Linked DNA regions of Diceros bicornis minor. The protein of the gene in region 1 interacts with the protein of each later gene in a pairwise test. Links are inferred from orthologs where the notes say so. Each region holds a gene or a part of one and is shown on either strand. Other genes may lie near its edges.

Region 1 (8,101 bases):
ATTTATATGTTGAAGCTCTAACTTCCAGTGTGGCTATATTTAGAGATGGGGCCTCCAAGGAAGTAATTACAGTCATGCATCACTTAATGATGGGGATACTTCTGAGAGATGATTAACTGATTTTGCTGTACAAACATCGAGTGTACTTACACAAAGCTAGATGGTTTAGCCTACTATACATCTCGGCTATAAGGTACTAATCTTATGGGACCACCATCATACATGCAGTCCGTCATTGATCGAAACGTTGTTATGCAGCACATGACTCTAAGGTTAAATGAGGTCATAAGGGTGGGGCCCTGATCCAATAGGACTAGTGTCCTTATAAGAAAAGACATCAGAGAGCTAACCCTCTCCCTCCACCCCCATGACCTGTGTTCACGCACCAAGAAAGACCATGTGAAGATATAGTGAGGAAGCCATCTAGAAACCAGGAACAGAGCTGTCATCAGAAACCAAGTCAGCCAGAACCTTGATCTAGGACTTCTAACCTCCAGAGCTGTGAGAAAATAAATTTATGTTGTTTAAGACACCTGGCCTATGGTATTTTTTATGGTTGTTCTAGCAAACTAATACAAGTTCTTTTGGCTCAAAGTTTTTCATGGGATTGCACTTAAGCTGTGAGCCAGGATCATCTTAAGGCCTGAATGGGGAAGGATCAACTTTCAAGCTCGTTTACATGGAGTTGGCAGGATTCAGTTCCTTGTGGGGTGTTGGACTGAGGGGCTTCATTTTCACTAGCTGTTGCCAGGAGGCCTCTCTCAGTTCCTTGGCACAGGGGCCTCTCCATAGGGAAGCTCACAATATAGCAGCTGGCTTCCATCAGAGTGAGAGAGAGAGAGAGAGAGGGAGTAAGGGAGCGAGGCAGCAAAAAAATGAGAGGGCCAGAGAGGTTGCCCAAGATAGAAGCCAGTCTTTTTCTTACCCTAATCTCAAAAGTGACATCCCATCACCTTTTCTATTAATTAGAAACATCACTAGGGGCTGGCCCAGTGGTGTAGTGGTTAAGTTCGTGCATTCTGCTTTGGTGGCCTGGGGTTCACAGGTTCAAATCCTGGGCGCAGACCAACACACCACTCGTCGAGCCATGCTGTGGTGGCATCCCACATACAAAATAGAGGAAGATAGGCACAGATGTTAGCTCAGAACCAATCTTCCTCAGCAAAAAGAGGAAGACTGGCAACAGATGTTAGCTCAAGGCCAATCTTCCTCACACACACACACAAAAATATCATTAAATCCAGCCCACACTAAAGGAGAGGAGATTACAAAAGGGCTTGAATACTAGGAGGTGGGGATTGTTGGGGGTCATCTTAGAGGCTCCCTACAATAAGCTCTCAATAGCCAAATCTAGGACACCTTGAGCAACATATAAATAACAATACTAATGGATTAAAACTGATAGAATAAAAATCCATGAGTCCACACTGATATAAACAAAATACTTGAATAAATAAACGAGGGAGAAAAGACAGCGCTTCCTTACAGTAGAATTCCAATTAATAAATGTAGAAAGAAAACTAGAAACAGAAAATTAACATTTGGTAAACACCACAGTAATAACTGCCGTAGGCAAGAAGGGAATCTAAAATTACCGCATGAAAGTAAGATTGAAAAAACAAATAAGGTATTCACATAGCCTCAAAGTTTCTCCCAAGCTACTATTAATTTAAAAAGAAAAATTTTTATCTTTACAGTGGAGAAATATGACAAATATCAACTTAAAGTGATCAGACTTTACCAGTAACAAGACTTACCAATGTCATGTACCTCCTGGTACGACGCACTGAGGGCAGAACATCACTCTGTAACAGTCTTGCCAAAAATGCATAACCTTAATCTCATCAATCAGAAAACCCAAACTGAAGGATAGTCTACAAAATAACTTGCCCATACTCTTGAAAAGTGTCAAGGTCATCAAAGACAAAGAAAGACTAAAGAATTGTCTAAGATTGCAGGATGCTAAGGTGACAAGACAAGCAAATGCAACATGGGATCCTAAATCGGATCCTGGATCAGAAAAAGGCTGTTAGCTGGACAATTAGCAAAATTTAAGTAAAGTCTGTAAATTAGTTAATAGTATTGTATACACGTTAATTTTCTGGATTAGATAATTGCATTACAGTTATGTAATATGCTAATATTAGGGGAAGCTGGGTGAAGCGTATACAAGAACTGTGTATTGTTGTTATTATATTTTAAACAGCTTTACAGACATAAAATTTACCCATTAGTAATCACTCCCTATTCCCCACCCTCCCTTAGCCTTAGGCAATCACTAATCTACTTTCTGTCTCTGTAGAGTTGCCTATTCTGGACATTTCATATCAATGGAATCACACAATATGTGGTCTTCTGCGACTGGCTTCTTTCATTTAGCATGTTTTCAAGGTTCACATGTTGAATTGTGTCCCCCCAAAATATGCTAAAGTCCTAATCCCCAGTACCTGTGTACGTGACTTTATTTGAAATTCGGGTCTTTGCAGACGTCAAGTTAAGATGAGGTCATTAGGGTGGGCCCTAATCCACTATGATTGAGTCCTCATAAAAAGGGGAAATTTGGACACAGAAACAGACACACATACAAGGAAGACAATGTCAAGACACAAGGAGAACACCATCTGTAAGCCAAGGAATGCCTGAGGCTACCAGAAACTAGAAGAGAGAGGTGGAAAAAAGATCCTCCCTCACAGCCCTCAGAAGGAACCAACCCTACCAATACCTTGATTTCAGACATCTAGCCTCCAAAACTGTGAGACAATAAATTTCTATTAAGCCACCCAGTTTGTAGTACTTCGTTACATCAACCACAGCAATCTAATATACCCATGTTGTAGCATATATCAGTACTTCATTCTTTTTATTGCCAAAATATTCCATTTTGTGGATATATCATATTTTGTTTATCCATTAAACATTTGGGTTGTTTTGACCTTTTGGCTATTATCAATCACACTGCTATAAACATTTGTGTACAAGTTCCTGTGTGGACATGTTTTAATCTCTCTTGGGTATAAACCTAAGAAAGGAATTGCAAGGTCATATAACTTTAACTTTTTAAGGAACTGCCAAACTGTTTTCCAAAGTGGCTGCACCATTTTACATTCCCACCAGTAAAGTGTGCAAGTTCCAAATTCTCCACATCTTCACCAACACCTGTTATTGGCTGTCCTTTTGATTATAGCTATCCTAGAGGGTGTGAAGCGGTATCTCATTGAGTCTTTGATTTGCATTTCCCTAATAACTAACAACATTGAGCTTCTTTGTTTTACGTGCTTATCGGCCATTTCTATATCTTTGAAGAAATTCCTATTCAAATCCTTTGTTCAGTTTTTAATTAGTTTGTCTTTTTTATTGAGTTGCAGGAGTTCTTTATATGTTCTGGACCCTTATCAAATACATGATTTGCAAATATTTTCTCCCATTCTGTGGGTTGTCTTTTTGCTTTCTTGATGGTGCTGTTTGAAGCACAAAAGTGTTAAATTTTTATGAAGTCCAATTTATCAATTGTTAAATCTTTTATTATATTTGCGATACTTCTGTACATCTAAAACTACTTCAAAATAAAAAACTATGTATAAAAGTTTATGTAAAAAGCTTAGAAGACTATGTGCTAAACTACCAACAGGAAGCAGAAATGGAATTTTTCATTTGCTATTCAACACAATTCCGTTTCTTTTCTTTTTCCTGGATTTCTTTTCCGGATTATACAAGTGAGCAGATTCTCTGTGGAAATTTTGGAAATTAACATCATTAGTAAAGTCACCATCCAGAGATAACCATTGTTGTCACTTAAGTTTATATTCTTACACAAATAAACATTTATAAAAATTTGGGATCATTTGTTCTATGAGGGGAGAGCCACGTAAACAATTCCGGGATGGACGACTCACTGACTAACAGGAACACCAAAAAAAGGTGCTCCACCAGGGGCATTCAGGGGGGTGATGCCTTAGCTCGCCTTGCAAGGTGAGGGATGGCTCTGCTTTGGTGGAAGGAAAGAGGGAGCCTTCCAGACAGAGGACAGCCACGAGTAAAGGAACGTAATGGGAGCATGATGGAAACCCTTCATAGTAAGCCAGCTGGACCATACTGGATTTTGAAGAGCCTTATGCGACAGGATGTAATCCTTGTAGGCCGTGGGGCATCCTTGTCGAGTTTTGGGCAAGGGACACGGCTAGGGACCGTGGAAACGTCTATAATACATTTTATATTCTGACTGAGTACACACACACAGGTGACCATATGTTGGCCAGAGACAACCCCAGATTACACCTTTGGGCCTAGAGTAACTATACTGCACTTCCCTTTCACTCCCAAAAATGCATGATTTTGGAGGATGCGTGTTATCATCTACACACATACACACAACGGAACTTGCACACTTCCCACCTTTACTACGTGAGATGCACTAATATTCTGTATTCTGTATTATTCCAGTTTTTAAATGTTGGCTGCAACCCGTTAAACTGATTTCGTGACACACTAATTGTTCCTAATCCACAGTTTGAAAAACTCTGACCTAGATGCCTGCCAGGTCTTGGGAAAAAGGGAAGGAGACAGAGAATCAAGTTTGGATGTGCAGTGTAAGGCCGTGGTTCTCAGCCTAGGCAGCGCCATAAAATCACCCGAAGCATTACTGAAAACGCACACCTCCAAGCCCACTGCATTTAAAACTTTGTTATGTGTATTTCTACGGAAAGAGCTGTGACATATTTGACACGTAACACGTAAAAGGGTATGAATACTTACAGACTTAAGTTCAAAGCAGAGCTGAGAACCACTATTTTCAGGAGTATGCGACAGCCTGGGAGGGAGCCCAGGAGGCAAGGACAGGGAGCACGGCCGCCGGCCCCTCCCAGGTGCTCGGCGAGTCACTGTTAAACCAACGAGTGTCCCTCTCTCCGCCGGCCTCCCCAGACCCTCGCTGACCCGGGGGCTGGGCCGCGGCGGGCGCCACACAGCAAGCGACAGACGACGCGGCCGCTCCCGCTCGCCAGGCCCACTCCGCCCGCCCGCTCCGGTACGCGCCAACCGCGGGACGCCGGCCCCACAGTGCCCCGCGGCGCGCACGCGCAGGCGGCCGTTCCCGGCTTGCAGCGCTGCGCCGCGGCCGAGCCGGCAGCGGGCAGCCTCTGGCAGCCCGGGGCCGAGCCGCCCCCGTCTCCAGCAGCTGGGGTAGGATGGCGCTGAAGCGGATCCAGAAGGTAAGGGGCCCTCCCCCGCTAGGGCTTCTTGCGAGTCCGAAGCGTGGGGGTCTGAAGCCTCGATTCGCGGGCGGGGGCGCCGTGGCTCCCAAGTGAACAGCGGCTGAGGTGGGCAGACCACGGCGACACCTGCCGGGGGGGGGGGGGGGGGGGGGGGGGCGGAACTGCCGCCGGCGCCGCCTTAAAAGGGCACGGCGCGGCGCGCGAGGCGGGGCCAGCGTCACGTGGGGCGGTGGGGCGGGGTTGGAGGGGCGTGCCCGGAGTCACGTGGGGATTGCGTCAGGCTGGCAGGTTGGCTGGTGGGCTAGGCGGGGCGGCAGGGGGAGTTGACGGTGGTGCCTGCTGCGATGTTCAGACTCAGGGCTCTGTCGTTGCCTGTCCCGGGCCACGAGAAGGCGCCGGTTGTCTGAGGAATGAGGGCTCGCCCTTGTAAAAGTGTCGGGAGGGCTGGGCGGGGGAGTCGTGGTTGGAGCTGGGTCCTAAGGAATGAGTTGGAACTCTGCAACTGGAGAAAAGGGACAAGGGCGTTCTCGGCCACAGGAAGACCGCGTGGCTTGGCTTGGGGCCCAATGAAGATGACCGGAGCAGGATGCTGAAGCAGGGGATGGGAGTGGGTTAATGGGCCTGGACTGGGTCTTAGGGCCAGTGCTGGCATAACTGTTTTTTTATCTTGTAGGTAACTGGGAGTCGTTATAGGCGATTAATATATTGTCAAACTAAAAAGCAAATTCCTGTTATTTTATCCTCAAAACGAATTTATTCCAGAATACCCAAAAGAAATGCAATTCAGAATGTACATGCTATGGCAAACCATAGGCAAATCCGGAAAACTTTTTTAAAAGAGGGTTGCTGCTTTTATAGAGAGAAAGAGGTGGGGGAGGGTGCTGTTCTAAGTGAAAGTGCATTGGGGGAAGGTAACATTTCAGGGAAGCTGTGGCTTCTCATTGGCTGAGCTTGTCATTTCTCATTGGCTGGGCTGTTGCTAGGTTGAGAGAGAAATCTTCCTTCAGTAGTAAAGTAGTTTTACTTCCTGTCCAAGATGCACGCAGGTCTCTTCCTGTTTGGTGCATGATGCGGTGTGAGAGCTCCCCATACAGGGCTTTGCAACTGTGATTTAGTTATGATTTCTTTTATTAATTTCCATGATATTAACTAGAATTTGGAAAATGCACAGTAGTAGAAGAAAGAAAACATATTCCCAATTCTACCACCTTACCATTTGTTGACATCCTAGCATATCTACTACCAGTCTTTTTCCTATACTTTAAAGAAAATAATCATACTGTATTTTGTATCCCACTTTTATCACATAGCCTTAAACGTGAGCATTTTCCATGTTGTGAAACAGTATTCATAGTCATAATTTTTAACACTAACTTTCTGTAAGAAAGTGACCAGTAACTTAATCAGTACCTGTAGCGAGTAAACACATGGACATGGGTGTTGAGGGACCTGGGGTAGAGAATGAGGTCACCTGTGGTAGGACCACAGGCAAGGCACTTAATCATTCCCAGCCTCTGTGTCCTATATAGAGTTGTTTTAAGACTTAAATGAGATGATACATGTTTAACACATGCTTGGTATATATCAAGCACTAAATATGAGTTAACTGCCATTGATATTCTAAATTCTTCATAAGAGTGCTGTGATGAGCATTATTGCACAGTAGGCTTAGATTTGATTACCAGAGATGGAATTACAGGATCTCTAAGGGTGTGACTCATTTTTTATAATTAGCTCTCCAAAAAGGAATTTTTTTGGCAAATTATTCTCTAAAGGGGTCATCTGTCATCCTAGGACTTTGAACCGGGTGAATCACATGCTCAGATCTGTGTTATAACAAGATCCTTCTGGCGGTGATGTGGCCTGGAGTGGGCCAGAGACTCGTGCAGAGGGAGAGTAGAGGTTATTGTGAAAGTCCAGCAAAGGCTTTGCCCAGATTAATGACTGTGGAATGGATACCAAGGCAAGGGCAGTACTTGAGTGACATGGCAGAGGTAGAATTGACAGGACTTGAAGAAGAGTATGTGGTGTATCCATCCACAAGATGGATAACTGGGTAGATGGTGGTGTCATTGCCTAAGATGAGGAATCAGAAGTTTTGAGGACAGGGAGCAGGGTTGGGGAGATAAGGAGTGTAGGTTTGAACCTAGATGTTTGAACACATAGCCTGATCATATTTATAAAAGGGAAAACTAGGAGAAACAAGTTAGGACCTTGAGGCTGAGATGGCAGCCATAGATATAAGGTAATTGAAGTCAGAAGGCTAGGGAGAACTTGCCTTGACAGGAATCAATAAAGGAGGAAACCAGAGCTGGCTTCCTGGGTATGTGACCTATATTGTCTCACAGGGCCCTTTGCTGTGAAGAGCCCTGTCCCTGGGTTAGTGCTCTGCAGTCACCATGTTGAAATTCAATAATTATTGAAGAAGAGACCCTGTATTTTCATTTTGCATGAGGACTCTGAAAATTATGTAGCAAGTCCTGGAAGAAACAATGCAATGGTAGGAAATGTCTTGAAAAATGTGTCCAGTGCACAGTGGTGAGAAGGCAACACTGGGACAAGTTAGGAAGCCTTGGCTGGAAGTGACAGAGGCCCAGCTGCCCTGGCTACAGAATTGGAGGTCCACAGGACTTTGGGAGTGACTTTGGGGCTCCTGCTCTGTTTCCATGAGATTCTCTGGACTGAGCAGCTCTGGGCCCCATAGCCCACTGGGCATCCCCTAAGAAGAAGAGAGACGCTGGCTTCCAGAAGTTCTCCGAGAGCCAAGAAAATCTTTTTTTTTTCCTTTATTTACTTGTTATGAATTAAGTTACATGCTCATTCTTGAACCAGTGAGTGCCAAGACTGCTTTTAGAATGTCTGGCTACTGCTAGACCTGGAGCTGAGGGTGA
Region 2 (7,592 bases), on another chromosome or scaffold:
TCCACTCCCAGAGGAGGTGCTGAAGGGGCTCCCTCCAAAGCCACGGGAAGCCCTCCCCTCCCTCCGGCTCGTGGAGACAGAGAGGAGGCCATGAGTTTCCCAAGGCGTCCCAGGAGTAGGCCCTAACAAGCCATTTCCCCCATTTTCTAAACCCTTCAAGTCTCAGATTTATATTCTTTCGAAGATGTTTAAAACTGGGGCTTTGCAGCATTGGTATGCACTAGCATCTGCAGGCTTCAGCAACGCTAATTTTTATCAGCTCTTTCTCTGACTAATCTGGTAGATGGGTTAGTGGTTTCTTAACCCTGTTTCACAGCTGAAGGAGAGCCAGGAAGCAGCTCACCCAGGGTCAGCGAGAACATGAAGATAAAAAAAAAAAAAACAGTCCCAAATCTAGCTGGGGCCATTTCTGCATCTATATCCCTGCATTGAGAGTGTCCAAAATGACTTGACATCTCCTCAGATCCATTAACTTTAAACCAAGAACCCACAGGAGAAACTTGAAGGAAAACATACTGGACTCCTGATACAACAAATGACAAAATGAAACTGATCTGAGGCTGCAGGTCTCCGCGGATGCCTGTTGCTAGCCATGAGTCACCCTCTCTAAGATGTCAAGTGTAGAATCAAGCTACTGAATGAAGAACTTTCCTCGTTCTGTATTTTAATATTTTCATTTCAGAGGCAAAATTGTCGTTTGAATAAAAGCACAAGGAGATAACAAGGGCATCGCCTGAGAAAGGCTGCCATGCAGGGTCCCACAGGGCATCTAAGCTTAGTGTCATGACATTGCAGAGAATAGAGGCTTCACCTTCGCAGTTCAGGCCCTCAGCTATTCAGTGGTGCCCAATGTGAGAGAGACCGGCTTATGATAACCAGTAGTCTGGAATATAAACTTTAAGGGCAAATTATTAATAAACAAAAAGGAATATAGCTGTTAAGCAGATCTAATCTTTTTCACCCCATTGGAAAGCATACAGAGAAAATGAAATTGTCATCCAAAGATTCCTTGATGAGCACCTTCACTGTAAAGCTTAGAAGTCCAGCTCTGCTCCTACTAGCTGTGTGACTTTTTACTGTGCATGTGGGATATACTTTATATTTACCTCTACCTCTCTATCAGTTGGTCTCTATAAATTTACATGGCTCAAACACTAAAATACAAAAAGATATATAACGAAATGAAATATTTCTCATCCATCCCGTCACCGAACTCTCCAGTTCCTACTGCCCACCCCCCAGGGGACAACATTATGTCATTTCATGTTTCCATCCAGTATCTTTATGAATATATACACTAAGAAAAATACAGGGGTCGGCCCGGTGGCATAGTGGTGAAGTTTGTGCGCTCCGCTTTGGCGGCCTGCGCTTCGCAGGTTCGGATCCCAGGCCAGACCTACACACTGCTTATCAAGCCATGCTGAGGCGGCGTCCCACATATAAAGTAGAGAAAGATGGGTAGGGATGTTAGCCCGGGGCCCATCTTCCTCAGCAAGAAGAGGAGGATTGGCAACGTATGTTAGCTCAGGGCTAATCTTCCTCACCAAAAAAAAGAAAAGAAGAGAAAAGAACAGAAAAATATAGACACGGTCCATGCTCCCTACCATGGCTGACAGGACCCTCTTGTCTGTCCCTGAGGACCAGCTTCATCTTTGGCTCCTCTCATTGCAGCTTTACTGCATCTTTCAGTCCTTTGAAGATGCCATGTTCTCTGGGCCTTTGAACATGCTGTTCCCTTTGCTTGGAACATTCTTCTCTTCCTGAAACACAGTTCTCCCCCCACCCCATTCCCTGGCTAATCTCCCACCCACCTTTTAGGTCTTGGCTTAGAATCACTGTGTTTGTGCCTGTCTCCTTCCCTCAGCACCATGCTCTTTCACTCTCATAGGACTTAGTTATTCATTCATTCATTTGAAAAATATTTATTGAGTGCCAACTACATGCCAGGCACTGTTCTAGACTTATCTATCACACTGTATTGTCACTGCCTGCTTCAATACTTCATATATATAGAGTCACATACCAAAAAATTGCACTGTATTACACTGTAATTCCCATACCATAAAATTCACGCTTTTAAGTGTATAATTCAGTGGTTTTTAGTATATTCACAAGGTCGTGCAACCATCACTATTACCTAATTCCAGAACATTTTCATCACTCCAAAAAGAAACCAGTTAACAGTCATTCTCTATTTTCCCCTTCCTCCAGGCCCTGGCAACCATTAATTTTTCCGACTCAATGGATTTGCCTATTCTGGACATTTCACATAAGTGGAATCATACAATATGTGGTCTTTTGTGATTGGCTTCTTAGTATAATGTTTTCAAGGATCATCCATGTTATGGTACATAACAGCACTTTATTTCTTTTTATGGCTGAGCAATAGTCCATTGTATGGATATACCACATTTGCTTTATCTTTTCATCAGTTGATGGATACTTGGGTTGTTTCCACTTTTTAGCTATTTTGAATAATGCTGCTATGAACATTCATGTACAAGGTTTTCTGCAGACATATGTTTTCATTTCTTTTGGAAATATACCTAGAAGTGGAATTGCTGGGTCATATAACTCTATATTTAATCTCTTTGAGGAACTGCCAGACTGTTTTCTAAAGTAGCTGTACCATTCTACACTCCCACCAGCAAGGTATGAGGGTTCCAATTTTTGCACATCTCACCAACACTTGTTATTGTTCTTTTTGATTAGAGCCATCTTAGTGGGTGTGAAGTGCTTCTTTTGAATTTCCATGAGAACAAGGACTCCATCTGTCTTGCTCACCACTCTATCCCAGAACCTAGTGCATAAGTGCCTGACACTTATGAGACATTCATATTTTGTTCAACACACTAAAAAAGTGTTGAATGAATAGGTAAATCAAAAGCTAGATAGACGGTTACAATACTATTGTGTATTTATCTCCCCCATAGAGCTCTGTCGAGGGATCTAGCATTCTTTTTTCTGCACAGTACTGAACCACCCCTCTTCTATTACCATGGTCTCTCTTCAGGGAGGAAATTGGGTTAAATGTAAGCTTTCTTGTTTTTCTTCAGATCACTCATTTAGATCTCAGGTGTGCACAAATTCTTCATTTAGGCACTTAAAGATAGTTTCTTGGGTATTGGAACATTTTGTTTTTTCCTACCTGCATTTCTCATACTGAACTCTTGACTTCCTTCTGCAGGGCCTTTAGTTCACTCCCAAGCACCCCATGCTTGCAAATAGCCTTCCTCCTGTTTCTTTCCAAGCGGGTCACACTGGGACAATCAATACCTGTGACAGACCAGCCCTCCTGTTTTTTGGTTTTCTCTTAATATTCTTTTACACCCTGTTTTGGCTCCTTGATTTGGAAGTATCTGGGGACATTTAGAGCAAGGAAGTCAGGCCAGGGACTAGGTGATGCTCATATCGAGCCCTCAGCACTTGAAAAATAGTTGTTGAATGAATGAATGTGAATTTGTGAGAGAGACATATTGCAAAATGCAGACTTGGTCAACAAATATTTATTAAGTACCCACTATGTCCCAGGCCCTGTGGTACATGCCCGAATAAAAGGTAAACAAAACAGGGGACTCGCCTTGGACTTAGGGAGTTCCTAAAATCACTAGTTCTAGCTACATTATTCCATTTTCACATCTCTATCTTTTCACTCTTTATCGTACACCTAATGACTTCAAGGATCACATTTTAGCTAAGGAATCTACCCGTTTACTTAACCCCAAAATAGGAAGTTCTGAATTACTGTCAGCAAAATTCGCAGTCGCAAGTGCCCCAGGGCGCTGTTTACCCGCAAACAGCCAAAAATCTCCCAAATGCTAAGCTTCCTGATCTTCGGGATCCCTGGATGGGGAACCTCCCAAAGAACGGACCGCACGTCCACCAGAGGGTGCTGTGGGGGTAAATTTGTGCCGGGAGGGGAGCTTGACCAGTGACCCACAGAGCCAGGTAGGCGTCTTGAGTAATTTTCATTCTTCCTACGGTTTCCTTCCCACCCCCTTGAACCATCGCCACCCCTCCCCCATAGGTGGTTCCCCCTGAATAATTAGCCACTTTCGGGGACTTAACGAGTGCTTGCTTTGAAAAGACGCCTTGTTCCGTTCCCGACACCCCGTGGCTCCAGTCACTCAGGTCACTGGTCGGTCGGGACCGGGTGGGTGGGGACCTCCGGGGCGTCAGGGGCCGGGCACCGCAGGGGCCGCGAAGGGTTAACCCGGCGGGGGGGGAGGGGGAGGGGGAAGGGGCGCGGGCCGCGCCTGCGCTCTGCCGCCCTCCATTGTCTCCACGGCGGCGAGGAGCGCCGGCGAGCACAGCCCGGGACCTAGCGGGGCGGCGCGGCTGGCGGGGTCGGCGGTGGCTGGAGCGAGAGGGCGACGGGACGCGACCGCGGCTTCCCGAGCTCCGCCTGGCCGCCCAGCGCCGCAGCCCGCCCGAAGCCTGGAGGGGTCCGGTCCGCCGTCCATGGTCGCGGCGTCCTGAGGCGGGGGACGCGCCCGGCGCCCCCAGCCGTCCTCCGCCTCCTCCTGTCGGGCGGGCGGCCTCCTCTGGCGCCTCCCTGCGCCCGCCCGCCCGCTCGCCCGCCGCCTCCCTCCCTCCTTCCCTGCGGCTCCCCCGGCTTTCGGGAGCCCGGGGGCGGCCTGTGGCGCGCCGAGCCCGCGCCGGACTGCGCCTCTTTGGACCTTGAGGCGAAACATGCGTTTGGCTTGGATCGTTTTAAATTCTTAGTTTGGGATCCCCGCCCGCCTGCCTCTTCCGCTCCGCGGGTTTTCTTTTCTTTTTTCTTTTTGTTTTTTTTTCCCTTTTTTCCTCCCAGTCTCCTTTTTGACTCCCTCCCCCTTTATGCTCGCCCAACCCTCCCCTCGCTACTGAGAAGTGGGGGAGGGTCTCCGCCTCCAGGTTCCCGCCCCACCGGGGCCCGGCCGAGCATGGGGGGCAAGCAGAGCACGGCGGCCCGCTCCCGGGGCCCCTTCCCGGGGGTCTCCACCGATGACAGCGCCGTGCCCCCGCCGGGAGGGGCTCCCCACTTTGGGCACTACCGGGCGGGCGGCGGGGCCATGGGGCTGCGCAGCCGCTCGGTCAGCTCAGTGGCAGGCATGGGCATGGACCCCAGCACGGCCGGGGGGGTGCCCTTTGGCCTCTACACCCCCGCCTCCCGGGGGACCGGCGACTCGGAGAGGGCGCCCGGCGGCGGAGGGTCCGCGTCCGACTCCACCTATGCCCATGGCAATGGTTACCAGGAGACGGGCGGCGGTCACCATAGAGACGGGATGCTGTACCTGGGCTCCCGAGCCTCGCTGGCGGATGCTCTACCTCTGCACATCGCACCCAGGTGGTTCAGCTCGCACAGTGGTGAGTCCGCGGATCGTGGAGGCCTCGGAGGGTGGAGTGCAAGGGAGGGCGCGCCGGGGCTCCCCAAACCTTCGCGCGCGTGCGAAGGTTTGGATGTGGAGTGCACGACCTGGATCTGTCTGTCTTCCCCTTGGTTCCGAAAGCCAAGGGATGAATGGGATACCTATCCTCTAGAAAAGAGGCATGGCATTCTGCGAGGCTGCGGAGCCGGGCATTTTAGGACTTCAAGCGTTGGTTCACTTGTGGATGGGCAGAGTGAAACCTGCCTATTGAAATCCCATTTATTGGCATCAGCATCCTCAAAGAGGTCTTGTCTGGTTTACAGCAAGTCGGCCTCAGTGCTTCCATTCTGTCACTGCAGCATTGTGCCTACCTCGCCGTTAACGGAGAGAGAGGGATCCCATCTGACCAAGCCGGTCTCCCAAATAAAGAGTGTGAAAAGAAATAAAATTGGGGGCATGTGGTGTTCGGATTAGGGCTCTCACTCTTGCTGGGAGAGGGGGATGCCCAATTTTGCCACCCTGCTGGAGATCTGTTTGAATTGTTTAAAATGGAGCAGGCTGCTGGCATAGACAGGTGTGGCGTGCTGAATGGAGGGCCCAGCCAGGGAGCCTCCCCTGGAGGCTTTGCAGGACCAGGGCTCTGGTCGCCCGTGCTGCATGCGGTAGGCTTGGCTCCATGACTGTCACATCCCTCCATCTTTTTTCTTCCTTTCCTTGCTAAGTGCTTGGTCTTCCTGTAATCTGCATCTTTTTGTAATGGAGAGGTGGGATTTTATTGCCTGGCTGTTGGCACAAGATAGGGGAAGAAGGGAAGAAGAGGATTCAGAGAATCTGGATGAATTCATTTTGTGAACTTCTGGTGACAGGCCAGTGAAAAGCTGGAGGAGGATTTCCCAGGCTCTGACTGGCAGGGTGGAAAAGGCACTGGCAAGAGCTGCTGGACGAAAACAGGTTTGTCTGCTCAGCTAACGTGCAGCTTAGGCTTCTAGAAAACTGGTCAAAAGGAGTGTGGGGCCGCTATTTGCTAATTGGCAAGTTGGAGTGAAGAAGTTAATGTATTCAGACTCCTTTGGGAAAGTCGAGAAAATTTAGATATTGTGTAGAAGAAAGATTGCTTTATGGAAGATTTATCTATCGGATCACTGTTCTAGCTATTGTGAAGTAGAGTAGACTTCTTGGATCTCTTTTTTATCTGGAAAGAGTCTGCATTTTTTTTCAAACTTTTGTCAAACTATAAACTTTAATTTGTGGAATATTTTTGGGGGAAAATAGTGACTAATTTAGGGTAACACTTGAAAGTAGCTTTTGAATAGCTAGGATGGTATTTTAAGCCCTGAACAGACCTCTGGATATCGTTGGAGCTTCTCTGACCTGAAGTAGATGCAAGGCATGACTGCCTTTGGCACTTTTAGGCATTTGATCAGCTTTAGACATCTTGAAATTAATGATCTTTCTGATAAAATATGATCCAGAAAGAGTCAGTTGTATTTGTGAGATGACTGTGGTTAAGTTTTTAAAAGAACTGTCATTAGTATCTGATTTTAAACCAAAAAGCACTATAAGAAGCTTCTCTAAAACCATAGAATTTTGTGTGCTGCAAAACAAATGTAATCTTATAGATGCTTGTCTGGGGAAGGAGTTCCCTTTTTGCTGAAATTTCTTGTCTGTCTCTTACCAGAAACTTCATTTTCCTTATTTCACCACCAGGTTCCATGCTGGAGTTATGAGCTTACAACTGGATTCCCAAATTTCAGACTCTTCAGCTGTGAAACCCATGGGAATACAGGAAAGGGCGTGGGGGCTGGTGTTACTATTGGGGGAATACATTCTTTATAGGGCCATCCTGTCCTTTTGCAAGACATTGAGTGTACCTGGCCCTGCCCACTAAATGCCCCCACAAATTTCCAAATGCTCTTGTCAGGGGTGGGGATACCACCCTGATTGAGAATCTCTGCTTTAGGGATTTGTTGTTTTATTCAACTAAAGTTATTTTTTCTGGTGCAGTTCATTTGAGATGAGCCTTCATTATTTCCACTCTTCTATCTCACCTTCTGGAACAGGCCATGGGATCTCCCTTCCAGGACACCCCTTTCCTCTCTTGTTCATTGCTGTAAGAAGAGAAGCTTGTTTCCACTTTGAAGCCTCTGAGTAAGACCCGAGCAGTTTTTGTTCTTGTGTCCTAAGAGTAGAAGGGTAAGGATTTCGGTGCACAATTGACTAGATGCCTGGAAGTTGATGTGG

What was found. The genes of interacting proteins can lie anywhere in the genome.
Region 2: the proteins of UBE2D4 (region 1) and ZNRF1 interact in binary tests that used the Homo sapiens proteins (3 or more experiments, as listed by UniProt). The link is inferred for Diceros bicornis minor from reciprocal best matches to the Homo sapiens genes UBE2D4 and ZNRF1.

The regions. Positions count from the first base shown.
Region 1 is NC_080780.1:1,119,136-1,127,236, forward strand, and holds the start of UBE2D4 (ubiquitin-conjugating enzyme E2 D4), read left to right. Parts: upstream 1-5,090; 5' UTR 5,091-5,183; coding exon 5,184-5,207; exon of another isoform or gene 5,208-5,315; intron 5,316-8,101. UniProt on the Homo sapiens protein: Accepts ubiquitin from the E1 complex and catalyzes its covalent attachment to other proteins. In vitro able to promote polyubiquitination using all 7 ubiquitin Lys residues, but may prefer 'Lys-11' and 'Lys-48'-linked polyubiquitination.
Region 2 is NC_080771.1:25,546,855-25,554,446, forward strand, and holds the start of ZNRF1 (E3 ubiquitin-protein ligase ZNRF1), read left to right. Parts: upstream 1-4,524; 5' UTR 4,525-4,925; coding exon 4,926-5,349; intron 5,350-7,592. UniProt on the Homo sapiens protein: E3 ubiquitin-protein ligase that plays a role in different processes including cell differentiation, receptor recycling or regulation of inflammation. Mediates the ubiquitination of AKT1 and GLUL, thereby playing a role in neuron cells differentiation.